Sus scrofa: one gene and its partners. The protein of the gene in region 5 purifies or fractionates together with the protein of the main gene of each other region. This does not show direct contact. Links are inferred from orthologs where the notes say so. Each region holds a gene or a part of one and is shown on either strand. Other genes may lie near its edges. The genes, in order: myomegalin, AKAP2, MAP2, AKAP7, PRKACA, AKAP5 and AKAP13.

Evidence for each region.
Region 1: the proteins of PRKACA (region 5) and myomegalin purify together in Homo sapiens (affinity purification with mass spectrometry; 5 studies listed by BioGRID and IntAct, with this or other methods). This does not show direct contact. The link is inferred for Sus scrofa from reciprocal best matches to the Homo sapiens genes PRKACA and PDE4DIP.
Region 2: the proteins of PRKACA (region 5) and AKAP2 purify together in Homo sapiens (affinity purification with mass spectrometry; 5 studies listed by BioGRID and IntAct, with this or other methods). This does not show direct contact. The link is inferred for Sus scrofa from reciprocal best matches to the Homo sapiens genes PRKACA and PALM2AKAP2.
Region 3: the proteins of PRKACA (region 5) and MAP2 purify together in Homo sapiens (affinity purification with mass spectrometry; 3 studies listed by BioGRID and IntAct, with this or other methods). This does not show direct contact. The link is inferred for Sus scrofa from reciprocal best matches to the Homo sapiens genes PRKACA and MAP2.
Region 4: the proteins of PRKACA (region 5) and AKAP7 purify together in Homo sapiens (affinity purification with mass spectrometry; 4 studies listed by BioGRID and IntAct, with this or other methods). This does not show direct contact. The link is inferred for Sus scrofa from reciprocal best matches to the Homo sapiens genes PRKACA and AKAP7.
Region 6: the proteins of PRKACA (region 5) and AKAP5 purify together in Homo sapiens (affinity purification with mass spectrometry; 6 studies listed by BioGRID and IntAct, with this or other methods). This does not show direct contact. The link is inferred for Sus scrofa from reciprocal best matches to the Homo sapiens genes PRKACA and AKAP5.
Region 7: the proteins of PRKACA (region 5) and AKAP13 purify together in Homo sapiens (affinity purification with mass spectrometry; 3 studies listed by BioGRID and IntAct, with this or other methods). This does not show direct contact. The link is inferred for Sus scrofa from reciprocal best matches to the Homo sapiens genes PRKACA and AKAP13.

What each region holds. Positions count from the first base shown.
Region 1 is NC_010446.5:100,731,319-100,735,423, forward strand, and holds the start of myomegalin, read right to left. Parts: upstream 2,801-4,105; 5' UTR 1-2,800. UniProt on the Homo sapiens protein: Functions as an anchor sequestering components of the cAMP-dependent pathway to Golgi and/or centrosomes.
Region 2 is NC_010443.5:251,066,564-251,070,535, reverse strand, and holds the start of AKAP2 (A-kinase anchor protein 2), read right to left. Parts: upstream 2,801-3,972; 5' UTR 2,666-2,800; intron 1-2,665. UniProt on the Homo sapiens protein: Binds to regulatory subunit (RII) of protein kinase A. May be involved in establishing polarity in signaling systems or in integrating PKA-RII isoforms with downstream effectors to capture, amplify and focus diffuse, trans-cellular signals carried by cAMP.
Region 3 is NC_010457.5:112,155,369-112,159,383, reverse strand, and holds the start of MAP2 (microtubule-associated protein 2), read right to left. Parts: upstream 2,801-4,015; 5' UTR 2,552-2,800; intron 1-2,551. UniProt on the Homo sapiens protein: The exact function of MAP2 is unknown but MAPs may stabilize the microtubules against depolymerization. They also seem to have a stiffening effect on microtubules.
Region 4 is NC_010443.5:32,359,349-32,363,522, forward strand, and holds the start of AKAP7 (A-kinase anchor protein 7), read right to left. Parts: upstream 2,801-4,174; 5' UTR 2,654-2,800; coding exon 2,398-2,653; intron 1-2,397. UniProt on the Homo sapiens protein: Probably targets cAMP-dependent protein kinase (PKA) to the cellular membrane or cytoskeletal structures.
Region 5 is NC_010444.4:65,073,630-65,077,675, reverse strand, and holds the start of PRKACA (cAMP-dependent protein kinase catalytic subunit alpha), read right to left. Parts: upstream 2,801-4,046; 5' UTR 2,585-2,800; coding exon 2,539-2,584; intron 1-2,538.
Region 6 is NC_010449.5:88,541,938-88,544,830, reverse strand, and holds the end of AKAP5 (A-kinase anchor protein 5), read right to left. Parts: coding exon 1,621-2,893; 3' UTR 501-1,620; downstream 1-500. UniProt on the Homo sapiens protein: Multivalent scaffold protein that anchors the cAMP-dependent protein kinase/PKA to cytoskeletal and/or organelle-associated proteins, targeting the signal carried by cAMP to specific intracellular effectors.
Region 7 is NC_010449.5:88,067,384-88,070,883, reverse strand, and holds part of AKAP13 (A-kinase anchor protein 13), read right to left. Parts: intron 2,980-3,500; coding exon 1-2,979. UniProt on the Homo sapiens protein: Scaffold protein that plays an important role in assembling signaling complexes downstream of several types of G protein-coupled receptors.

The DNA of each region.
Region 1 (4,105 bases), on a different chromosome or scaffold from region 5:
TTGGGGAGTGCTGCAATCTGTAGAAGTGGGGCTGAGAATTTCACTGACTTCACTTAGTATCCTGTATTATTCAACATTATCCAGTAGTAAGACACCCACCCTTGGGTGTAGAACTTGGAATGCACGCAAAGAAAGGAGGGAAACTGGAATTCTGTCTAGGTGAAACTGAGGTGTCAACGTCCACTTACAATAAAAAACTCTCTCCCTGGCTTGAGAGGTATCCAGCTTCCAGATGGAAAGGAAAACGGACCCAAGTAATCATTTCCCCAGAGCAGAACATTTATTCCCCAGTTACAGTAACCCTAGATTTCACTAACTTGACCTTGTAAAGTCAGCAACAGTCATAAATATTTCTGAATCTCATCTCCAGGACAGAGCCCACGCTTCTAAACCTGGAGACATTCAGATACTTTTTTTTTTTTTTTCCTTTTTTTGCTTTTTAGGGCCACACCTGCCTCACATGGAGGTTCCCAGACGAGGGGTCTAATTGGAGCTACAGCTGCTGGCCTACATACACCACAGCCACAGCAACAGCAACGTGAGATCCGAGCCATGTCTGCGACCTACACCACAGCTCAGGGCAAGGCTGGATCCTTAGCTCAGGACAAGGCTGGATCCTTAGCCCAGTGAGCGAGGCCAGGGATCAAACCCACAACCTCATGGTTCCTAGTAGGAATCATTTCTGCTGCACCACAATGGGAACTCCTCAGATACTTTCAATGAAAGCTCATAATAAACCCCCAAACTTCTTATTGAGGATTAAACGAGATGATTTGGGGGAAGTGCTTTAACAGAATTTGGCTCACTAAATAATAGTTAATATTATTTTAATATTATAATAATGGGACTATTTTAAAGTAATTTTAAAGTTTGATGGGGGCTCTGCACATATGAAGTTTTATTGCTCTTATTTAATCATCAAGACAACATCTTATCAGCTCCATCATGAGAGATAAGGTCAGTCCTTAGAGCTTTGGGTTTAGTAGGGTACAGAACTTCACATCTGTGATTTCACCTAAATGTGTAGTTCTGACCCCCAAACCAAGAAGGTAAAATAGAGTTCCAAGTAAAACTCACTACAGTGATAAATGAGCTTCGGAGTCAGAAGAAATTAAGTAATAATCTTTGGAATCTATAGTGCTGTACAGAGAGGCAAAGAGTTTCTGGACTTCCACGTCACTACCCTGCCCTACCCTGTCTTAAGTGTTGTCCTAAAGAACAGCAAGGACTCAAAAGACCAAAAACTGCAAATTAAGACATTAATCGAGGCCTCATCTTTGTTAATGCAAGCCATATTTTCCCAATGGGGAAAATGCTAATGAAACAAAGTGCTCTTCAGGAGCAAACTCTAAACAATACTTTGTATTATTCTCTATTACTTAATAAGATTTTGCATCTAACTTGCAGCCTCTAGACTTTAATGACAGTATATAGCTAGTTGACATACAAGTCAGTACTAATGGAGAAAAGGCAATTTCCCATCAAACAATATGTTTCTTCAGTGGTAAAGATCAATATAAATAATTTTAAAAAATGGTAAAGGTCAACATACTGAAAGAGAGCTATACATATCTAGGCTTTCAACAACAGACAGGAATAAATCATTCAACAATCAAAAAAAATCTGAAGATAGCACTCTTCACTCTCAGAGAAAATATTTAGATCATATCTCAAAACAGATAGTAGACTACTAGAACTACTCCTAAAGTGATCATTTGGTATTATAAAAAGATCATTTTTGTATAATAAAACTTGGAAAGAAAAATTAAAAAATGAAGAAAAATTATAAAGTAACAATTCAGTACTTTATGATTCTTATCAATATCGTCTTGGTCAAGATTTTGTATTTGGTTAACACTGGCTACCTATGGGGAGGCAAGCAAAATAGGGAGCTGAACAGGAACATTTACTTTTATTCTATATATCATGTATCATTTGAATCTGGGGCATGAATCTATATTCATATATTATTTTTTAAATGCTTTAAGGTTAGGAAATATTCTATAGTTAAAATGAAGAACTGTGCCAATTTAAGACTTAGAGTCTAAGTGGTAAATCTTGAACCTAAAATGAGAATTTTTCTAAAATATGATATATATATTATATATGTGGACAACTTATATAAACAAAGGTTCACAGGGATATACAAGTTACTAAATCATGATTATGTCTGGAGAGTAGGATTATGGATACCTTTCTTCTTTCCTCATTTGTATTCTATAATTTTCTATAATAAGTATGGATTGATTTGTGATAAGAAAAATATTACTAAGAAAAAGGTAGGATAAACACATTTTCATATATTCACATAATGTAATATTAACCACCAATAAAAAAGAATGAATTCTGATATCCACAACATGAATGAATCTCAAGTGTCTTATGTGAAACAAGCCATTTCAATACATCCTGTGTGATTTTTATTTGTCTAACAGTTTAAAGTCTAACAATTTCTATAATGATAGAAATTCCAAAAGTGGTTATGGGGGGTGAAATAAGGTGAGAATTGGTTACAAGAGGGCACAAAGGAACTTTCTGGACTGATTAAAATGTTCTATTGTTTTGGGTGATAGTTACATGGATGTGTACAATTTTTTTTTTTTGTCTTTTTTTGTCTTTTTGCTATTTCTTTGGGCCGCTCCCGCAGCATATGGAGGTTCCCAGACTAGGGGTCTAATCGGAGCTGTAGCCACTGGCCTACGCCAGAGCCACAGCAACGCGGGATCGAGCCGCATCTGCAACCTACACCACAGCTCACGACAACGCCAGATCCTTAACCCACTGAGCAAGGGCAGGGACCGAACCCACAACCTCATGGTTCCTAGTCGAATTCGTTAACCACTGCGCCACGACGGGAACTCCGGATGTGTACAATTTTAAAGCTCACTGAAAATGCTTTTTCTGTAGATTTTATCCGTTGGTATAGTTCAATTTTAAAAGATTAAAAAGGTGTAAATAATTATAAAAATATATATAGCCCACAAAGTTTAATCTGAGGGATTAAAGTAACCCTCATTCTATCATAAGAATAGCTTTGAAAATTGGGAAGATTAAAATATAGCCCAGAAGAAATTTGATGAAATGTTCAATTGTGACTTTAAATTTTCATAGTTTCTATCCAATGATCTTGGAAAATATTATTTTATATACATATACACACCACACATTTATTTATTTATTTTTTTGCTATTTCTTTGGGCCGCGCCCGTGGCATATGGAGGTTCCCAGGCTAGGGGTCCATTCGGAGCTGTGGCTGCCAGCCTACGCCAGAGCCACAGCAACGCGGGATCTGAGCCGCATCTGCGACCTACATCACAGCTCACAGCAATGCCGGATCATTAACCCACTGAGCAAGGCCAGGGATCGAACCCACAACCTAATGGTTCCTAGTCGGATTCGTTAACCACTGCGCCACGACAGGAACTCCCCACACCACACATTTATAATAGAAACAAAAAACATATTGTTAAGGTGAGACATAAGGCTTTTGTGATGATTTAGAACAAAATAAATACTTCTAAAACTTATCAGAAGTACATAACAAGGGAAAATTTTACTGAGAACAAGTTTCATATTATGATAACCTATAATGAATTAGACAAATGATTAATTTTATATACATGCTTTCTGCCCTCACAATGGATTGATAAGTGCATTCATAAGCACGTGTCTGCTATCTGTCCTAAGTCAAATCGCTTATATCGGGCCCTTAATTTCCTAACCTACAAAATAAAACAATTAATTTAAACAGTGGGTTTTAGTCTTTGGCATGCATCAGAATCACCTGGAGGGTTTGTTAAAGATTTAACAAGTTTTAATTCAGTTATTCTGAGAAGGGGTCCAAGAATTTGCATTCCTAGAAAATTCCTGGGTCAAGCAGCTGCTGCTGAGAACCAGACTTTGAAAACTACTGAATTAGAACTCTCTTATTAAACTGTATTCAGACAAATCTTGCCAAAAGATCAAAGTTCTGCAGATAAATGGAAAACCAATTAATAAAGAATTACATACAAAATTGTTGAATTTAGAGAACTATCTTCCCATTTGGAACAAGATTCCTAAGTATTACTATAACAGGGATCTTTTGCACTATCTCTATTTTGAT
Region 2 (3,972 bases), on a different chromosome or scaffold from region 5:
TGCCAATGTTGAGAAATGTACAAAAATAAAAATGGAACTGACATCATTCCCTTTGTTTTCAGAAGTCAATTTTCAGCATGCTCCTGTTTTAATCATTAAAATCCCTCAACACGACCTCTATCCAACTTCAATTTCATCTTTATTTGAAACATTTGTCATTACTGTGATAAGTAAGACTTATAAGTGATGACAACCCTGATAGAAATCTGGGACATGGGTGCTTTAAAAGTCCACCAAATCTATAAAGACAGTAGAATCTAGAAAATAATTATACTAATTAATTAGAAAGTCTGGGGTGTTAGCACTTTTTAAAAGTAACATTGAAAATGTAATTTCTATGTTAAATACCAAAACGTTTAGAAATCAAATAACCAGTGGGTCATTTTCCCCTCACTTGATAACTAAGACAACCTGCTTCACTTTATTAGCCAGAAATCCTGAGGTTAGTGAGTCAGAAGGAGCCACTTATGAAAGTGAAATAAATTCTGACAACACTACCCTGAACTCTGCAGGCAGGAAGCTGTCCAACTGTCATGCCAGAACTATGAGATAATGGGTATTTCAAAATGTTTGTCCCATCTCAAAGCCCAGCCATCCATCTCACACTAGCATCTCAGCATCCCAGAGATGTCTCTCTCCATTGCCAGAGAAACATCTCGATACTTAACTGAACACTCTGTTAGCTAAGGGATCTGGAGACCTAAGTAGTAGTACTTTCATTTTTCCTGGCTCATGACTAATTTTATTGGTGAAGCTCAGAATGACTGCAGGGCCCACGATGTGCCCACTCAAAGGAGAAGATGCCCTTTAAGCAAAGAGCCTATGGCAAAACTGAGGAGAGAGCTGGATGGGTAACTGTTTAGAAGATGCTCAAGGGCAAGTTTTAATTCTTAAAAGGCTTTATTTAAAGAAACCTAGTAAACTCCTTACTAAATATGCCTCATTTCTAGACATGCCACTCTGAAATTTTATTGATCAAAGTGAAGGAGGCTGCCAGAAGGAGGAGAGTGTTTAGTTAAATTGGGACCATTTCCAGGAAGAAAAGTGTGATGCTTAAATGACCTCTCTTCAGTTAGAACAAAGCCAAGGAAACAAATCGGGGGGGGGGGGGGGGGGATGACAAAGGTGAGTGATGGGTTTGTACTAATTTCTGCCCCTGATAAGATGGAAGGGAGCTTCCTCTGAGAAGCTGTTTGCAGACTCAGAGATATACTATAGAGAGATCTATAGGAGAGACAGAGACACAGGGCGGGGGGAGGAGACAGGGAAGTCTTTTCGAAGACAAATACTTTGGTGGGAGGGTTGGAGGTTCGCCCAAATTAATGGTGCAGCACTTAACTGCTACAGGGAAGAGTGCAAATTTGGCAACGTCTGACCACACAGCCCATCGAAGCCAAACCACTATTGACCCACGCGGGAAACTGGCATTACTGGGTTTAACATCTCTGTAAACGAGTCACTTTCCTCCCAGGCGCCCTCTTTTTGCGGCCTGAGGAGAGATCCCCAAGGCTGGCCATCTCGCATCCATGCACGGAAGCTCAGAAACCAGGTAGCGGGTTCCGCTCCCGTGGGTCCAGCTCCCGCGGGTCCAGCCCGCGGCCTGCCGCCTCCCTCCCCACCACCCACAGCCGCTTTGCCTTCTGCCCTCACCCGCCACCAGCACCACGGCTCCCCCGTCCGTTCCGCCTCCCTCCGCGGACTACCAGGCTGCCGGCTCTCCTGAACTTAATTCAGGCCCCTGTTCTTCACTATGTTTCTCTAGAACTGCTCCGGGCCGCCAGTATCTCCTAGCTCCTATCCCGGGAGGTGCGCCGCCTCGGCGATTACAGAACAGTTTGCCCAGCGCTCACCCACCTCGATCCGCCCCTTCGGCTCTTCACAGTGTCCCCACAAAGGGGCCAAAGAGACAAACCCTCAGGCTTTATCCGGGATAAAACACCAGATCCTAAGAAGTGGGGTCTCAGCCTGAGGCCAAACTTCCAGGCTCAGCTTGGATCCGGATCCCCCTCCTTCCGCGCACAGAACGGCTGCTCCCTCCTTCCTCAGCATCCCCCACCTCCATCCCGATCCCGTTCGGAAGGAGCTCGGGCTGGTCAGGGCAGGGACCCAGCCCTTCTCGGTCCCAATCTCCATGCAGAAGCTCTAGACTTCCAAAAAACGGCCGCAGCGCTGCCACCTAAGGAGTCAAGACCCACGCCTTCATCTCGAACTGGAATGGGTGGCTCCATCCACCGCGGCTCCCGGGTCTGGAAAGGCGGCTACAGCCTTTTGATTTTCTCTGCTTTTCCTCAACAGCCCGGCTCTGTGAGTGTGTGTTGCGGGGGGCGGGGGGAGGAGGGTAATATGCCTAAGTTTATTTTTTAAAGTATATATAAGTGAACAAATACTGATTAAAGGAGCCAAAAGCTGGCCCTCCCCCAAACCTAGGAATTCAAAGCCACATGGCCACATGGCCATAGCCCTTTCCAGCCAGGCCACCCCCTCGCACACGCTCCACTAAGCAAGGGACATAAAAGCCCTTTAAAGTCCACGGTGCTTCCAAGGGCTTCCCAGATCACCAATCCCTCCTGGGCCACCCTTTCCTAGTGTGCGAGGCCCCAACACCAAGAGAGCGCCCCGAGGACTTGGAGTCCGGAGCCGCCCGCGCCCCAGCTTGGACACCCACCTCTGAGCGCCGGATCCCGGGGGCACAGTCCTCGGGCTCTGCTCCAGCGCGGTGCGGCCGCTGCCTCCTCGCTGGGGCGTCCGGGAGACTCCACGCAAAGGCGTTCGGCAGCCCCTGGCTGGGGCGAGCGCATCTGCGGAGAGCTGCTGCCGCGGGGCGTGCTGGAGTGAGCCGAGCGCCGCCCGCCGGCTCCCGGAGCCCGCCCCTTCCCCGCCCCCTTCCCGGCGCCTAGGGCCCCGGTCCGCCCCTCGCCTTTCACATCCCCTCCCCAACCACCCACACCTTCTGTCTGGCTTTGGCGGAATCTGTGCACAAACGTAGAAACCAAGAAATGAGTGAATGGATAGACTGGAGGAATGGAGGGATGGGCACGTGCAGCCGAGCGTTTCCTAACTGGGGAGAAGGCTCTGTGCCTGGGTGTATGAACGCGCGTTAGCACACGGGTGGGCGTGTCGGCTTGTGTGCAGGGGATCGTGTGTGTTGGTGTATACATACGTGCATACGAGTGTACAGGAAAGTGTGTGGGTGCGTGTGAGCCCGCACATCGCCACAACTGCTGAGTTCCCATACGAGGGGTCGAGCTCCTCGTCTCTTACCCAGCACCACGACTATGTCCGGGTAAGCGGAACCGCTGGGAGCGGTTGGGAGGTGCGTTTCTGCGACCCGGAGGGCGGTTCAGTGTGTTTTGGACCTCGCCCTGATGGGGTCCAGAGACTAAGGTGTGGACAGGGAGGTTTCCCAGCTCGTTGACTGGCCAGAGCTGTCATGATGCCCTCCCTAATGTGGCAGCCGGTGGCCTGGTGTCGGGGCGTGCGTGTTAACAAAGCCAGCGATGGGGAAGGAGGCAGCTGTTACACCTCGTGGGGCTCAGTCGAGGGGGTGGCCAGCCACCCCCCACTCCGGAGACGTCTGAAATTTCAGCATGTAATCCCCTCCCCCTCATGAATATTTAAATAATGTTAATGACCCTTTGAAAACGGACCATCTAGAAATTCTGAGAGAGGACACACACACAGAAACACCCCGCCCAGAAAACAGGATTTTAAAAAGCAAGGCGTTCTCTACAGAGGAAATAGAATATAAATATAGCATAAAGTCAGATGTCTCCAACTGTCCACTAGGCATGACCGGTGTTTCCATTTTCCCGGTGATTCTCTCTCTCCAGCTCTGAAAGTCAGAGCCCCTTACTCTCCTTCCAATTTCCGACCTCTGGCCTGCTTTTTTCTGAACCAGTGGCCCAAACACGGGGTTCCTCTTCTGAGCGTCAAAGTCACCTGCCAGGGTTTGGTTCTTTTTTTCCTCATCCA
Region 3 (4,015 bases), on a different chromosome or scaffold from region 5:
GTTCAAGATCCCTGAAGAGAAATACATAAAAGAGAAAACATTCCTTTAACCTCAGCAGAGCAACATTATTAGAGGAAGGGCTTCTGCCTTGAGATGGGTGTGCTCCTGGTGTTTGGTTTCCACTGAGAGGATGCCTGCTCTCTCAATGAATCTGAAGTAGCTACGATGATGAGGTAATGGCTGTGCCAGTTTCACTGGGTCATGCTCTCTCAGCACATTCTTTCTTCTTCTCCTCCCTGAGAAGGTGCTGTAAACAAGTCATCCTGGGAGATTTGCTACAGAGAATTAACAAATCCTAAATTTGAAATTCTTGAGACCTCTGGCTCTTCATTTGATAGACATAACCAGAAACTTAAAGCATCACAGACAGAGTCACAAAGAAACAGGTTATATGATAAGGAGCGGGCGGGGGGGGGGTGTCAAGAGAGGCGAGAAAGAAAATGGAAATTAATGTATTAAAAAAAAATCTTTTTCAAAAAAGGAGCTCAATTTTTAAATTGCTTAGATCTCCAGGTATATGTTAGGCAATTTTCTGTCTATTGGTAAAATAAAAACAAGCAAAAAAAAAAACTTTTGGAAATTAAATAATACTATATTGTGAAATACTAAAAATTAAGATTAAATAAACCATAGGCATAAAAACAGCATGTAGTGCAGATCCTAAAGGCACAATAGCTCTGATAATATGCAAATTGTGAATCCAGATGTAAACCTCTGTTAATCAGATAAAATGAATCAATGTTAAGATATATACACACACACACAAATATAATACTCCTTACTGAAAGACAAAAATGCCTTTAATCTTTTCTTGAGGGGGGAAATGCTTTTGCACATGAAGAGGGAATGACTGAAACATCCACAATTGTTTATAAATTCACAAAGGTTTCCAGAAAAACATATAGATACCAATTGCCCAGTTAAATGGGTGTTTTGTGTCACATTCAAAAGAAAGGCTATAATCTTCCTCTTGGGCATTCTAAAGAGCTTTTATTTATTTAATCTACTTTCATTGCCAAAAAAATTATAATTGCCCACAGTGAAATGACAGGGTTACAGAGCTATGCTTTATACTGGGCTGGTACCTGCAGCTCAAGCATGGGACATTTTGCATAATGTGGCTCACATAAAAGGCTTTGTTCTCCATCGCCTCACTGCGGCTGCAAACCCCAATTTCAGTTTTCAATCATTTCTTCTCCCAGACCAGAAAGATCATTTTTAAATAAATTTTAACATTTAAGTTACTACCTTACGGATATCCATTAATCCCTTTGTCTCACACCCAAAAATTAAATACCACCCACCAACATATGTTTGTTTGCTTTGCACTATAGATTTCATTCACACCATAACCCAAATCTTCAAGGATAAATATTTAAACATTAGTCTTCTAAGAATCCACTGCAATATTAGGAATACAGTGTGTTATATATGTGAACGGGTTTTTGTGTGTGTGTGTGTGTGTGTGTAGTGTGTACCACCATACTCCTGTGTACGCTCGCCTTTAAACAAAAACCCTTCACACTGAGTCAGTTTTAAAGAGCATTATGCTAAGGGCTTACAGCTGATGGTTCACAGCAACTTACAAATGGGCTTGTTAATGAAAGCTTTTTTATTTTCTGACAAAATCCCAAAGCCCTGATGCCAGGCAGTATAACATCAACTTCCAGTTTTCAAGGATGTTTTTTTTCTGACCCTATCCGTTTTATTACCCCCTCCCCCCTACACACACCCAAACACACACATCCTCACTCCTTGCTCCTCTCACATACTCTTACTTTAAATTTCCACCCTTAAACAAAAGACGAGGTTGGGTAGGGAAGGCACCCAGCACTACAGCCCCCCAAACGCCTTTTAGGAAGAAAAAGAAGAGAAGAGATGAACTGTAGATGCTGCTCTCCACACCAATCGGTTAAAAAGGACTATGTGGACGCTTCAGCTAATCCACACTCATTTGTTTTCTAGTGTTCCGCCCTCTGACGTTAATTCTTCATTTTCCTAAAACTATAAATATTCATCAATCTTGTTCTTCCAGCTGTTTCTGGAAGGATTACAGGGAAAATGATTTCAAATTGACAAGGCTTCCCTAACTTGCTCGCTCGTCAGTTCTCTGCAGTTAATGGACAAAAAAAAAAATCCTCTACCTCCAAATCCTGTCCCTATTATGTTCGCATAATTCACCCCCTGTCTTTTCTCAGCTCAGGTAAAATTAGCTCTCAAGACAGGTATCCTAACCCGACGTAAGTTTACGGGCGTTTCAAAGTGGTACTTACCAAGGTCACACACCCTTTAACAAATCTAGAACCCAGGTAGCAGCCCTGGTCCCCCGCTGCGTAGTAGTGACACCTAAAGAGGCCGGGCCTGAAGCTTCCGCCAGGTAGGAGACTGGGCAGCTCGGTCAACCTGTGCCTGCTTCCAAGACAGAGGACGAGACAAACCTCTCTCCATTTCACTCTTTTCCTGGGCTCCTTCTCCTCCCTCTACACAGTGGGCGAGAGAGAAGGAGAAACACCCTGTAGAACCAGAGGTGAGGTGGTGACTGTTCTCTTACCTGGGCGCAGAAACTGGATGCACCCGCGGTCGCCGCTGCCACTACTCAGGGACCCGAGGACCTAACGTCCTCTAGAGAAGAAGCAAAAGGGGAGACGGGGCAAGGGAAGAAGGAGAAAAGGAAGGAGAAAAAAAAAAAAAAAGAAAGAAACGGAAGGGAAGAAAAGAAAGAGGAGGATGCTGCTGCTGCTGCTGTCGCCGCGGCCGCCGAGAGCCCGCGCAGCCGGAGCGCCCGGCCCAGTCTGAGCGCCGCCCCGGCCGCTGGCTCCCCGCGCGGCCGCCCCGCCCCCAGCAGGCCCCGCCTCCTGCCCCCCGCAAGCCCCGCCCGACTTGGCAGCCCGGTGGGTCGCGGGGGCGGGGCTGGCGCGGGCAAAGCCGCAGCGTCCCGGAGGCGAGCACTGCCACCCCGCCTCCTGCCGCAGCCAGCCCGCCGCCCCGCGGGGACAGCGAGGGTAGCAGCTTCGGAGTGCCGGCTAAGCCAGGGCCACTTTGGGTCTGGGACTGTGAGACTCTTTCTAGAAGAATCCTCCTCCATCACCGCTACCAGAAGCAAAGTGAGATCAGCGCCGTCGGGACAGAGGGACTCAGCCGACTTCTTATCTGACGTTTTTGGTGAACTCAGAGGCGCTTCAGCTTTAGTCTCTCAGGAAGGAGTACCCCATAGACGCCTCTCCTTTCCCAGCTCTATCGCTGTGAGGGTGAGGTTCCTTGGAGAGGGCTCTCTGGTCTTGCCTCCACAAACCTTAGGACGTTCACGTCCATAAAAGACGGAGGAAAATTGAGGGGAGCATGAAAACAGAGAACTACTCTTGTGGGTACTAAAGGAACAATGGTTGTGGATTTAGAGAATTCTAGACTCTTCTGCGTCACTAATAAGATTCCGTCATTCATTTATTCATTCAACAAATGTGTATTGAAATCTATTATGTGTCAGGCACTGTTCTAGGCACTGTGGCAACATCTTAGAACACCCCCACCCCTACCACCAAAGAGGGGAAAAAAATCCTGCTTTCGTGGGCATTGCATTCTAGATAGCTAGATATATGATCCAGAGTCAATTCATTTAATCTAAATCACCTGCAGGAATGTGTTAAAAGTATCAGCTCTACCCCTCTGGTATGTTTAATACGAAGATATAATTAGATAATGAGTAAGAAGAGCCTGTGGAGAATATGAAGAATGATACAGAAGTAATGAATTAACAAGGAAAACTTCAACCTTGAAACCTGACCATTTAAAAGAATCACATCTTAAATTCTCTTGAAAGAGATGTGACCAATTGAGAAAACATGAATCTTTACCATGGAATCTTTATTATCAGAGAACAGCACTTCATTGTAAGTAGAAGAGGTAAGTGCAACTCAGAATTACTTCAAGCTTCTATATGGAGTACTAACGAGGTGTTTTTAAGTTTTGCCAAGGTAGTGAGGTATGGTCTGTGCAGTTTCAATAGTAGTTACAACTT
Region 4 (4,174 bases), on a different chromosome or scaffold from region 5:
CACTGCGCCACGACAGGAACTCCAGGGAGGTATTCTTATCATACTCATTTTACAAACTAGCCGATGAAGTAACCTACCCCAGGTTACTAAGCTAGTAGGTCTTGGGGCTATAATTTGAAACCAGTTACTCAACCACGAAAACCTGCCCTTTCCAGCAAAAAGCCTGATGGAAAGTTAACAGTGTTTACGGTTCTGTAAACTGATCTGGCAATGATGTTCTTCTTACAAAAGAGGTACCAGGAGAAGTTCCTGTCGTGGCTCAGCAGTTAGAGAACCCGACTAACATCCATGAGGACGCAGATTTGATCCCTGGCCTCGCTCAGTGGGCTAAGGATCTGACGTTGTCATGAGCTGTGGTGTAGGCCGGCAACTATAGCTCTGATAAGACCCCCTAGCCTGGGAATCTCCATATGCCGTGGGTTCGGCCCTAAAAAGACAAAAAATAATATAAAAATAAACAAATAAAATAAATGTAAAAGCGAAGTGGCATAATGAGAACTTATGAAAAGCAGGGGATACCTACACTAACCTTTTAAAAAGCACATATAAAACTATATATACTTGTGCTATGTTGGCAATTACATAGGATAAGGCTAAAGGATATAAATTATTTCTAAATGCTGCCATAGTTGTACTCAATATATTTGTATTTTTCCTGTTTCTGCTATCCAAACATCTTACATAGAATTAATATTACTTTTTTTTTTTTTTAATCTTTTTAGGGCCGAACCCATGGCACACAGAGGTTCCCAGACTGGGGTGGAATCCGAGCTGGCCTACACCACAACCACAGCAACGCAGGATCCGAGCCGTGTCTGTGACCTACACCACAGCTCACGGCAGTGCTGGATCCTTAACCCACTGAGCGAGGCCTGGGATCAAACCTTCAACCTCATGGATGCTACTCAGATTCATTTCCACTGAGCCACAATGAGAACTCCTTAATATTACTTTCCGGGTACCGCGGGAATCCGGGTACCGCGGCCACATCGGTACATTAAAAAAACATTAAAAAACAATTAATGCATACATCTAAAATATATTACAAAACCATACATGAAGTATATATACACTAATATTTGAATATACATGCATTTTAGAAAATGATTTTGTCACAGACCAATAGGGGAAAACAAGGATACTTCATCCTTTGTCACACAAAATGCAAGCTTCCTATTTGGATAACAAAGTACAACTTTATTAGGCAAGATTCTCTTCAATTCACTCGACTAGGTATACAGCAGGGAGACTTCCCAAGAGCCAGTGGAAAGGGTTAATCCCATCATTCATGCTGGTCTTGGCCTAGCTACTAAAAATAGAAACATCTTACATCTGGAGAAATATTGAGCTGGGTGATAATCAACAAGTCACCTGACCTCCATGTTTTGGTTTCCACATCGTTTAAAAAATGAACGAGAAAGAGAACAAAAGTACAATCCAAATCACTATAAATACACAAAATAAGCCAATAATATCCGAAATGAAATGTAAGAAGACAAACAAACATCTTAAAGGCACATCATCAGGATTCGAACGTTGGCCATACACTAAAAGCACTCAAGACACCGGGATGTGAAACCTTTCTCTTTGACAACCCCCTATGCGTTCACTTCGGTAACCGCATCCATCTCAAAACTCCCGCTCTCAGCATCCACCTACAAGGTCTTCGCTTTTCCATTCTCTTAACTCTTGTAAACTATTGTATAACATTTTCACGCCTTTTATACCTTTTTAAGCGTTTATACTACAAAAATCTCACGGAAGAGCACCTTTTCTCTAACCGGTTTGTTGGTCCCTTTCACCAAAAGTTCGGCCTCTAACCCTCGCTCTACCCACAAAGTTCAGTTCACAGGAAATGCTGACTTAAACTAGAAATTAATTCCCGGCCCTACCGCAGATTTGGCGCCAGTTTAAAGGGGTCTTAGAATAAAATCCTAGCAGGAAATCCTAAAAGTGGTGGTTCAGGTCTTTAATTTTGATAAAGTATAAAAGTGGAGTTTTTCTAGGTTTTGCTGGCCACACAAACACTGTCGGTGGGTGTGCGTTGGCATGAACTTTCCGAAAGGTCACAAACTCAGAAAGGAAAACGAAAGCGAAATTTAGGGTGCGAAACTTAGGGTGTTTCAAAGGTGAAACACCCCCGGCCTCTGTGGCAGCAGCAGTGCGTGCACTAACTGAAAGCCTTGCTTGCAGGCACTGATCACACCCCCAGTGCACGGCTTTCTCGAGGCTACACTGAGTCCCGCGCTGAGCCGGGAGAGGAGCCCCGGAGCAGGGCAGGCTCAGGGTCGCGCTGCAAGGTCTGGGGGAGAGACCAAGCCCTCCCCGAGGCCGAGCGGGGCCCACGCCTCCAGGCTCCAGTCGCCCCACCCGGCCCGCTCGGCCGCCCGGGCTCACCGGCTCCGGGGTGCTCCATGGTGGCGGCGCTAGCGGGCGGCAGGCCTCTGCAGCCGGCGACAGCGGCCGGGCGCTGCGGCCAGGGACTGGGCGCGGGGCGGAGGCGGGAGGCGGGGCGGGGCTGGGGGCCGGGCGGCGGCGCGCTGGGGCGGAGCGGGGGGCGGTGGCCGCGGCAGGCGGCGGGGGCTCGGGCCGCGGCGACCAGGCCTGCGGAGGCGCCGAGCCCCCAGATCTTCAATCCCCGCAGGAGCTGCATGCCCAGGCCGCGCGCCCGGAGGGAGTGGAAGGGGCCGACCCGATGTGGCCGCGGTACCCGGATTCCCGCGAGCGAGGGAGGCGGGGGAAGCCGCAACTACTGCGCGAGGGAGAGAAGAGGGCTCCTCTCTGCCCGGCGACGCTCCGCCCCCTCCTTGCCCCGCCCCCGCCGGGGACCTCTAAGGTCTTCCGCTGCGCTCAGTTCTTCCCAGTGCCCGGCCTTTCCTTCCCGTGCGGAGGGGGTGAGATTGGGCCCTTAAAGAAGGAACTCCCTGGTCTGGGTTCTCCTGAGAATCCATGTGTTTGGTTTTGCAAAGAGCTTTCAAAACACAGCGTTCTGCTTATAAAATACTTGGAAAGAGCGAGATGTGCAGGAATGAGACCTTGTCAGTTTGTATAATTAGATCTTTACTTTGCACTAAAGGAAAAAAAAAAAAGCCAAAGTTCCCTTGTGGCGTAGGGGGTTAAGGATCTGACCTTGTTGCAGGTCACATCTGGATCGCTGGTTTGATCCCTGGTGCAGAAACCTCCATGTGCCTGGGGTGCGGCCAAAAGGAAAAAAAAAGCCAAGTTGTAGCAGTGTCTCAAATTTTTAACCCTGGTTTCATGCCTAGAAATTAAATGGAAAGCAGCTATTTGTGGTTGCATATTAAAGGACTGACAACTAGGGGGAAAATTTTACTTAAAAAAAAAAAAAAAGAAACTTTGGGAATTTCCATTGTGGCTTAGCAGGTTAAGAAGACGACATAATTTCCGTGGGAATGGGGGTTCAATCCCTGGCCTCACTCAATGGGTTAAGGATCAGGTGTTGGAGGCAAGCTGTGGCATAGATCTCAGATGCAGCTGGGATCCAGTGTTGCTCTAGAGTATGCCTGCAGCTGCAACTCCATTTCAACCCCCCTGGCCCAGAAGGTTCCATATACTGCAGGTGCTGCCTTAAAAAGAAAAACAAAACCTTTTGATCTTGGATCAGAATTCTACTGGAAGAGTTCCCCTTGTGGCTCAGCAGGTTAAGAACCCCACTAGTATCCATGAGGATTCAGGTTCTACCCATGGCCTCGCTCAGTGGGTTAAGAATCTGGTGTTGCAGTGAGTTGTGGTGTAGGTCACAGATGCAGCTCAGATCCCAGGCTGCTGTGACTGTGGCGTAGGCCTGCAGCTGCAGCTCTGATTAGACCCCTGGCTTGGGAATTTCTATATGCTGCAGGTGCGGCCCTTAAAAGCAAATTCTTCTGGAGTTTTCTAAGTGCAAAGAAGCCAATCAGCAAGGAAAAGTAGATTCATCTTTCAACAAATTAATAGAGACTATCTTGGGAATGATAGCACTTGCCTTATCTTGAATGCATCCTATACTGAACATGGAAGCAAGGACTTGCGCACAACCCCAATAGTTGGCAGAAAGACCCTATACAACTAGTCATAAAGCTCGTTAATCTGGTTGTAAAATAATTCTACCAAGTTGAGTGTTTGGTTGACAGGTTCATTGCAATTATGGGCTGGCTAATTGGAGAAGGACAACAGG
Region 5 (4,046 bases):
GCATAGCAATCCCATGATTTCCTTTATACTACTGCTCAGGACAGATCAAGATTTATATCTGAACAAAAATGAGTCAAATTTTTTATTTTAAGTTAACAAAATAGAAGTGGATATAGCAAAAAATCAGGAAGGCAGGTGGGAGAATGTTTGAGTTAGGACATCCCAGGGTCCAGGAAGTTGGCTGGTAGGTGGAACTGGATGAGAATCCTGCCTCTGTGGCATCACCTATGTCAAACTCAGAGAACACGTGTAGAAAATTCGGATGACAGCCCATTATGAAAACCACTTGAGGAGTTCCCGTTGTGGCGCAGTGGTTAACGAATCCGACTAGGAACCATGAGGTTGTGGGTTCGGTCCCTGCCCTTGCTCAGTGGGTTAACGATCTGGCGTTGCCATGAGCTGTGGTGTAGGTTGCAGACGCAGCTCGGATCCCGTGTTGCTGTGGCTCTGGCGTAGGCCAGTGGCTACAGCTCCGATTTGACCCCCAGCCTGGGAACCTCCATATGCCGCGGGAGGGGCCCAAAGAAATAGCAAAAAGACAAAAAAAAAAAAAAAAAAAAAAAAAAAAAAAGAAAGAAAACCACTTGAGCAGACAGATCTATGGAGACCACATAGCCTGGCACATCCTAGATGCCCAATAAATAGTGGCTCTACTTCATCTTGATATTCCAGTCCTGAGTGATCTGAGGGAATTAGCGCTTCCTTCCAGAGCCTCTGATCTGTTTCTTGGGGATCCTTTTCCCTGTGCGGCTTTCCCCCCACCCCTACCCCCACCCCCGGCCCCACTGTATGTGTCTGATATGCCTTGAGAGTTTTCAGGACTATGTCATCTCCCCAACTTTCAACTGAGCCTCTGAAATACACAGCTGCCTGCCTCCACCTTCCACCTCCCAGCCAGCCTCACCTGCTGGGGGCCTGGCTCCTCCCCCTCTGCTTAGTCCCCTCCAAGCACAGGCCCAGACCTTTTTTGGTCACTACCCACCTGCTCCTCTGTCATCAAGCGCTCAGCTACAGGCACTTGCCTCCCCGTTCCCCGCCCCTCGGTGACTTGTCAGGCCTCTCCATGGTTGCTCAGTGACTCTAAAATTTGGCCATTTGAATCCGGATGGGAAGCAAGTTCCCTGGCTTTCATGCCTGGGTCTTTCTGGGAGGGAGCCTTCGGGGAACTCGGACGCTGCGGGTTGAGACCAGTAAATGGGAAGGACCTATGTGGATGTGGCCTCCCTTTTAAGCTCTGACTATTTCTGGGTAACTGGAAGGGGATCCTAGCTGAGGTCCAGCTTTATGCCTGGAGTGATGACAATTTAAGAGCTGGAGGAACTGAGGAAGGGGCTCAAGGCCATTTCTGAAGGCATTTCCAGATACCAAAATCTCTTTCCCTGGCTGGCTGGAAAAGGCCACTATTTGGGGGCTGAGGGAGAAATAGGCTCTTCTCTGGTTGAACCCTGGGAATGATCAGAATCTATTTGTCCCTTGGCAGAGAGGCATTAGATGTCACCCACTACTCCTCCCAATTGCCATCCCTTGAGTCCTCTTTCTCACCATTCCAGCTCAAGCTGAAGGAGGCTTGTTAAAGCCAGACACTCTTCATCCCAAGCCCGGAGCGGGTCAAGAAGCCTGGGGGACTGGGTGAATGACGAAGCCTCAGTTGTGAAACAACCATTTATTGAGGGGCCCTCTGAGGAGCCTAGAGCCTTCCAGAGATGGGAAGGGGCTCTCTGCTGACACCTCCACCCCCCAACCCAGGAAAAACGACGCAATGAATTTTCCAGCAAGATCAGCTCAAACTTGGCTTTGGAAGCACTGAAGCAGTTCTCTAGGTTCATAAACAGTCTGCTACCCCAGCCAGGGACAGACGCTTGCTTGGAGGAGGGAGCACAAGCAGAGGAGCAGAGTGACAGAGAGTATCAGGATGAGAGAGGGGCAGAGAGACCCAGAAAGATCCTGTCCCCCATGTCAAGTGACACAGAAGGGAAAAACAATTCTGGAGGTGGCCCTGAGAAATGCTCAAGGAAGGCAAAGTGGGGTTGGAGGGGGCTGTGATAAGGTGAAGAGGGGAAGGGCAGGAGAAAGATGGCGGGGGCTGGAGGGGGGAGGGGTGTGGTCACCAAGTGGCCAAGGTCCCTGCAGGGTGGAGGCAGACCCCACAGCACTCCCAGACTGGCAGAAGAGGTGAGTGTGGAAGAGGTGAGTGAAGAAGTGGGGGGAGATTTAGAATCTGTGCAGAGGTACCAGGAAAGAAGAGAGTGGGGTAGTGACAGGGCCCCATGTGGGGCCTCAGCGGTTATACGTGCCATGGTTGGCAGTGACAGCTGGGGGGGAGCACGGTCTTTGCACAGGGGGACGGTCTTTGGCAAGGGGGCTCCTACGGGGTCTTCTGCGGGCCTTGGGCCCCAACCTTGGACAGACAGGGGGAAGGGTTCGCTGTAGGGTAAACAGAGAGAAATGGGGGGGATAAGGGGAGGGGCCAAGCGGTGATGGACAGGGAGGGGGCTGGCAGCGCGGGGCCGCGATCGGGGTCACGGCCCGGGCACTCACCGCTCTCCTGCTCGCTGCCCTTCTTGGCGGCGGCGGCGTTGCCCATCGCGGCGGCGGCGGCCGGGGCCGGTCCCGGAGCTGCGGCGCGGCGGGTGCTGGAGGCGGCCCGCGGCCCCGGAGCGCGCTGGGCGGCGGCGGCGGCGGCGGCCCCTGGGGTTGGCTGCGCTGGCTGCGGCGCCGCGACCCCCGCCCAGCCCCTGCTTCCCGCGTCTCTCCGCGCCCGCCCGCCCGGGAACCTCAGCCCAAGTCCGCTGCTGCTGCTGTCCGTGACGCCCCCGCAGCCTGCCGCTCATTGGTCTAGGCCTCCCTGACTGACGGCGCTACGCCGCAGTCCATTGGTCCTCCGCAAACCTCCCGTGCTGCCATAGGATCCCGGCCCCTGACACGCCCCTAGAACGCCCGGCCACTCGCGCGCTTCTGAGGCCTCAGCCGGGCGGGCCGACGCGTCTGATTGGTCCAGCCTCCCGACAGGCTCTGGGGCCCGCCCAGCGAGGCAGTCAATTGGCCAAGGCTGGCTGTCCGGCAAACCCTCGGCCGAACGTTCAGTGTCAATCCCGAGGTGAGAGGGCGGGGCGGAGGCTCAGCCCGCCGCCCGGACCTGACGGGCGGGGCGGCAGGCTGAGCCTCGACCCACCGGGTGGGGGGGCGCGGAGGCTCATCCTGTTGCCTGGACCCGCCGGGCGGGGCGGCCGAGGCTGGCGGGCGGCCGCGCAGCGCTCGGAGCCCCAGGCGGCGGTCCAGGCGGGCGCTCGCCCAGCCCCGTATTCGCCGCAGTCCCCCGCCCCCGCTCAGTGCGGCAGCGGCTGCCGGCCAGCCGAGGTTGGCGCCGCGCCCCCCCCACCCCACCCCGCAACCCCGGCGCAGCCGCTGTCCACCTGCCAGCGGGGGAGGAGAGCAGCAGGCGCCGCGGGTCATAGGTCGCCCGGCCGCCGGCCGTCGTCATTCATAAGGCCTGGCGCAGGATAGCTGCAGGCCCCGGGGCCAGGCTGCGGTCCTCTTGGGTCTCTCTCAGCCACAGCCTGAGCTTCTGGAGGATGCTGGGCTGCAGGAGCAAGGGGATGTTGGGAGGGGGCGCTCACTAGCCATCCTTTTTTACTGGGTCCCCAACTTGGGCTCATGGCAGTGGTGAGCTAGCGCTCATTAAATACGTTATTTCGTACCACACTCCTATCACGTAGGCACTATGATCATCACTCCCATTTTACAGATGAGGAATGGGGCACAGCCAAGATGGGGATTCCCTCTGTCTAGGCAATGCAAAAGGAACGGCCCCTCCTGGAGCAGAGTAGCAAAATTGCCCCTTCCTTAGGGTGCCCTTTTAATATACTGAGGACAGTTTCCCACTGCCACATTTCTGACATTCAGGGCCGGACCAGTCTATGCTGGCGTGGGAGTGAGGAGTGGTCCTGTAGGGTGTTTAGCAGCATCCCCAGTCTGCCACCTGGATGTCAGTAGAACCTTCCTCTCCTCCACCAGCTGTGACAACAAAAGCCACCTCTAGACACTGT
Region 6 (2,893 bases), on a different chromosome or scaffold from region 5:
AATATGGGGGGAATAATTTTACACTTCAGCAAAGAATCTTACCCATTATCTTGTTTGGTTCCAAAATCAGATAAGGTTCTTCTGCCAGATGTCTCAATATGTGCTTACAGGAAGAAACAAAGATTCTATGAGACAAATTAACACATACTTTGTATATGCAGTCCAAACGAATGCAAAAAGTCACCAGATTGCTTGAAATTATCTTATGTACATTCTTTTCGCCAAGAATGTACAAATATCTTTAATAACAAATACCCTACAACTCAAGTGAAAGTTGTCATTACTTCATCTGCTGTCAGAGTGACACTGTCACTCAGTTTAGACAGTAGGGAACAACATGGACCCTGACCTGTGAGGTAGGGAAGTGCGTTGAAGTATTATGGCCATTTCACACAAGGAAAGGTTGCAGTAGGTTGACTTTTTCAAAAAATATGGCAATCATTGAGAATGATGATTTAAATAACTGAATAAAATGCAAACAAGCCCTTCTTGTTATATTCTTTTTTTTTTTTTTTTTTTTTTTTTTTTTTTGGTAAGAGAGTAGCTGGACTGAATCAGTACTGATGAAAAAGTTCATTTCCAATATCCAGAGTCTCTCAACACTTTTCACTTTCTATTCAGCCATGTTCTTGGCTCATTCTTGGCCAAGAATGAATAATATTTTCACTAAAATGTTATGATTTCCTAGGACTTTTACGCCAGGCTGGCTTTGAATCCACTCTCCCCTCTTTGGGGAGAGATCAATGAATGTAGCCTCTAGCGATTTAATCTTGCGAGAGGAATCCTATGGTATCCGTGATAACTTGTCACTTGGGAAGTTCACCTTCTCCTGGATGGAAAGTAATATTCCATTTTTGGTTTTTGTTGTTGCTATTGTTTTTGTTTTTAAGTTTTCAGCAGGTGATTCTATGTATAAATGGATTTGTACCTGTCTGTTTTGAGCAGAAGGAAGATGGAGAGGGAAAATATACTCCCTGTTTCCACACCTTTGTATTTGATAATTATTTGCCTGTTTGAAGTAATTTGTGAATGGCTTTTGTAAAGGACTTAAGCAAGACTAGAAAACCAGTCATGTTTAATCAGTTTTTCTGCAGTATTTTTTTGAGGTAAGACTACTGCCTAGGAGTGTAACAAACTGTAAGTCACACATTCACAAAAATAGTTCACCTTATTCATTTTAAACAACAGAAAAGTACACTGTAAAAAAAAGTTGTTTTGTTGGAAGCGAATGTGAATGTTAACCTATACACAAGGTTGAACTATCAAAAGGAAACCTGGCTTTGTGACATCAGAGGATGTTAAAGAGCTTATGGCATATATGGCAAGTGCACGGAAAATCCATCTTCCTTCTCCCTAGCATCCCAATCTCCACCTGCTAAGCAACTCCCTGGATGTCACTTCCCATTGTAATCTGTACTGACTTCCTCTGATCCAGAAGTGGCTACACTTCAGTGGTAGGGAGGGTTTTACAACTTAATTCTTTAGCACTTCTGGACTAGAATTGGACCTTTAAATTCCACAGATGCTAAATCTCTCATTTGTTACTGAATAAGGAATGCCACAAATATGTAAATAACTCACCATTAAGCTTTTCTTTCCTCCCATGATCTAGAAATTAAATCACTGTACAAGATTGTTTATTGTATTATCATCAGAGGCCATTTCATTAACCAGCTGTTCTATAGACAACTGGATAGCATTCTTGACAAGAGAAGAAGCTGTTTCTATTAAGAGTGTTTCATATTGTTCTGAAGTTCTACCCTCAAAGCCACTATCATTAGCAAAAACCCCTACTTGCTCACTTTCAATTGAAATTAGGAATTGCTTAGGGACATTTTTAGCTTTCTTAACATCAAATTCACTGATTTCAGTGTCTGTGATAATAATAGCAATTGGCTCCATTCTTTTGCTTTCTTCTGGTTTGGGTTTTTCTGCAGTGATCTCATTTTCTTGAAAATCTGATTCCTGGCTCAATTCAGTATCTTTTGGCTTACTCTCCTCAGCTACAATCTCTCTACTTTCGTGGTCTTTCCAATCTGGTCCACTTTCTAGGATACTGCTTCTGGCTTCTTCCACAATTTGTTGATCTGGGACTGCAGGTAAGGGAGGAACATCAGAAACCACTGGGAGGGGATGTTCTATGTCTGAGGTTTCCAGTGGGCTCCCTTGCTGAGGATGAATGCTTGGTTTTTCTTCAGTCGTTTCAATATCTTTTTCAAGGATTAGCGTTCCGGTTGGAATAGCAGAATGCCCTGTACCTAACTCAAGTTCTACTGAAATCACTTTTTCTCCAGGAGAAGTTATGCTCTTGTTCACATTTGATTCACAGACCTCATCACCATCTTTCTGTGAGACATCTTCCCTTATATCCAGAGTTGACTTGGTTTTTGTTGCCTGGTCATCCAACTGGACTGGAGTTTTTATATCCAAACTTTCAGCCTCTTCCTGGACTTTAATGCTGCAGTCTGAGTCTTCTATAATTTTGGAATGATTACTTCTTTTCCCCCCTTTTGAGAATTTTATGCAGGGAATCTTGAGTCTGGATTTTGCCTTTTTCTTAGAAAGATCAGCATCCTTGCTTTCAGGCTGCACTTTAGCCTTACAGGGCTTTTGCTGCTTTGAAGAATCTGATCTTTTCCTGCATGTTATAAGGCGTTTGACTGAAACCCAGGCTCCCCCTGGGGGCTGTGGCTGATCAGAAGCTCCCGCTTCTGGGGGAAATTTCCTTGCTGCCTCAGGAGCATCAGAGCCAGCTTTGGGCTTCCTTGCTTTGGTTGCCTTCTTCCTTCTCTTGAAGCAAAGCATCGATGCTTTTTCCTCCTGCCTCTCATCCTGAGGACTAACTTCTGCTGATCTCTTCTCATCCTTGCTTTCTACTTGTATTTCAGAAACT
Region 7 (3,500 bases), on a different chromosome or scaffold from region 5:
TGGTGGGGTCTCCGCAGGCTGGACAGCATGCGCCTTCCCTGGAGAAGCACTCTCTAGCTGTTCAGTCTCTGGGCCTGACTCGGAAGGACTGGACAGGAACACATGACTGATCTTCCCCTCTGTCATCAGTGCTCCCGAGGCCTTGACTCGCTCTATGACAGCATCCACTATACGACTAGCAGCCTCCTCGATAGAGCCTGCTTTCTCAGGCGGCAGCGCAACTTCAGCAGAGACAGCGCAGAGCACAGGGACAGCACCCCTTTCCCTGCCTTGGGCCTGGTCACCACGGCCTGGGGGCCCTGTCTCTGTGGGGGGATCTTTGGCAACAGGCTGCAGCGGGATGTGATACGCTTCCTCACCCCTCTGTGCCTCCTTGGAGTCGCCCAGACTACAGCTGCCACCTGCTCCCTCCACCTTCCCCTTCTCCCGGCCCAGTGGTTCCAGCTCTGGGATTGCGGTGTCCTCAAGACCAGTCACACCTTTGTCTAGTAAAGCTCCTGGCACACCCAGGATCATATTCTTCTCTGGGCTCAGTGAGACTGGTGGGATCGGCATGTCCTCGGTGTGATATGACATATCCTTTCTTCTGGCCCCAACGGTGCCTTGTAGGGCACTGACCATGGCACCATCCAACGCCACATTTCCACTCACCTCACAAGCAGTGGTCTCCTGGGACTGAGTGCTTTTCACTCCAACATCCAGAGCAGGAGACTGACTGCCGTTAAGAGTCTCAGACCCATCTGGTAACAGACTTGGCAATGGAGGTGAGCTGCTGTGCTCTGCACCCAAGGCTTCCTGGCTTGAGTCTGCAGCCAGACTTGCTCCTGGTAGCACCAGGCTCTGGGCAGCCCCACCTTCAGTCAGCAGTGAGACTGGTGGGGCCACTTCCTTGTTATGTTTAGTTTCTGCATTAAGACGAGCCAAGGGTGTGCCCAGTGAATTACCGTGCTGAGGAGCTCTATCCTCAGCACAGGCAGCTGAACTAGGTTCTTCACGGAATCCCAGGGCCTCTTGTCCAGGAGGTGGTATTCTCTGCTTTTCCTGCAACGTTCCTGCACAAAGGGTGTCTTCCTTAATGGAGGAACAGGTCACTGCTTTATCCTTGTCATCTGGTCCCCGAGCTGCAGGGCTTTCTATAACCACCTGACTTTCTCCTTCTTCAGTCAAAACAGAATCAGAGGCCAAAGTGGCCTGACCCGCATGTAGTAGTGAAGAGTCAGCAGCCCCCTCGATATTTAGGACTTCAGGGGCTGCTGAGAGGCAGGGATCCTCGTCCTCCCCACCAAGTCCCACGGGACTGGTATTCCCCATGCCAGGCTGAAGATCTAGAGCAGAGGAGTGTAGACACAGGCCTGTTGCACTGTCTTCTGGTGGCTGCTTCTCCGGATCATTCAAGTCTCCGTCTGGGCCATCTGTACAATCTGTATGTGGTTCAAGAGTTGCTGTTCCCTTTTCATTCTGGGAGGGGACAAGAGAAAGCGCGTCATCTTTGGTTACTGATTCACTGCCGGGACTGCCTGCCAGAGAGAAAGTCTTGCCTGATGTCCCTGCGTGGTCTGACACCCACTCTTTCTCAGCTTTGGAGACAATTACATGTGGATGTGGGACTACCTCAGGCATATCTGTTAAAGATGTTTCTAGTTTCAAATTTTCCCCTTGGCTTTCTTTATCCAAAACTTCGAAAGGACAAAAATCCACATGTTCCTGAGGGTTTCTCACAGGGTGAGCCTTTGGGCCTTCTGAGCAGCTGGCAGTGGGCAGGTGTGTGCTGGGCAGTCCTGTGGTGGTGCTTTCAGGCTTGGTAACTATGTCATCACGGTGTTCTGCAGCCAACACACCACTAGAAGTCACCATGTTCTGTTGGCATGTGGAGGCAGCACAAAGTTTATCAACTCCAGTTGTAGAACAGATGGGTGATATATTGTTTTGGCTTTGAACATGAGATGAATCTGTTTCTGATTTCTGGTTTAGTATAACGTCTTTTTGTGGGCCGGTAAAGGTTAAATCAGAGGGTAACACTGCCACACACGTGCCTGCTAAGGGAGTGTCAGGTTTGAACCCTTCTGAAATCTCGTCTTTTGCAGCAGTTAGAATTAACTGAGAGTTCTGAGCTCCTGGAGTATCAGTACTCTCTTCACAACTTCTAGACATTTCAGTTTCTACAGTTTTTTCAGTGGCAGTTTCTCCATTACTAACTGCAAATAAAGACTCAGCAGGTTTGTCAGCATCCAGGGAACCTGCAGCAGAGACACCGTTTAGAACACTGGCTTTATCCACAGGCTCATCTGTGACTTTTAGGTCAGAGGCTCCGGCTGTGCTGATACTAGAGTCCTCAGATCCTTCCTTTGTACTCCCCTCTACTTCAAGCATATTGGTCTGGATGGTGGCATCTGGGTTCATGAGACCAGGTTCCATTTCCCCTGCAGTCTCTGGGACACAGGCATCTGATGAACTAACCACTAGTTCACCTGCAGAGAAAGGTTGGGCTGTGCCAGGCTTCATGACCACGCCTCCCTGCAGGACACTGACTCCACCGCCTGGAGACTCCTGGTCCGTGGCCACTGCTGAAGATTTTGTTCCAGTGTCTTCATTTCTGATTCCACAGGATGGAAGACCTTCTGTGCCCTTTCCTTTGCAATCAGGTGTGCCCTGAAGGCAGCTGTCAGGATCAGACATAGTCCCAGAGTCCACAAAAGGTGCCGGCTCCACCTCATCTCCTTTCTCCGGGCTTTTATTTTTCTTGCTACAGAAACAGTCTGAATTGTCCTCCTTAACTCCACTTGATAAATCAAAGGAAGTTTCAATCTGCCCCATTGTGCTCCCATGGCAGCACTGAGAGCTCTCTGCATCTTCAGGAGAAGCATGCTGCTGGCTGACTGGGGGCTCTGATGCACAGGGATGGTCACCGGGCAGACTTGAAGGATCCTCTGCTGTCACCATTGAAGGCTTAAGACTATCCATCTGCTTCAGGTTTGTTTTCTAGGAGGAAATGGAAGATATTTTTTAAAAACTGTCCAGTGGAAAATATGTCACCTATAAGCAACAATTCTGTTGGTGAGAACTCACTGGCATTCCAGCCCTTCTAAGATCACATGAGAAATCAACCTAAGTAAACACAAATAAATTCTCTCTTGTTCTTGACATCAATTCCCCATGCCAGGCTGAAGATCTAGAGCAGAGGAGGATTTCCTGTAAATTATTCCCATACCTTACAGGTGGCTTTGGCATCTGCAAACTGCTCTTTTCATCCAGTAAGAAGAGCTCTAAAGGAAAACCTGACCTTTTGGCAGTCCCTTCAGAGGAAAATAAAGTGAGACCTGTTCTGGAACAAACATGATTCAGAGAGGCAGAGGCAGGTGCATCACACAACCTTGCTATGGAGTCTCTTGGCTTGCTGGTCACAGAAATAAAGCCTGCTCCCAAAGAAGCCTCAGGCATTGAGCTGACCCTAGATGCCCTTAAATGAAATTACTGCCGAGCTTTTTCCAAATCAAGTCAAC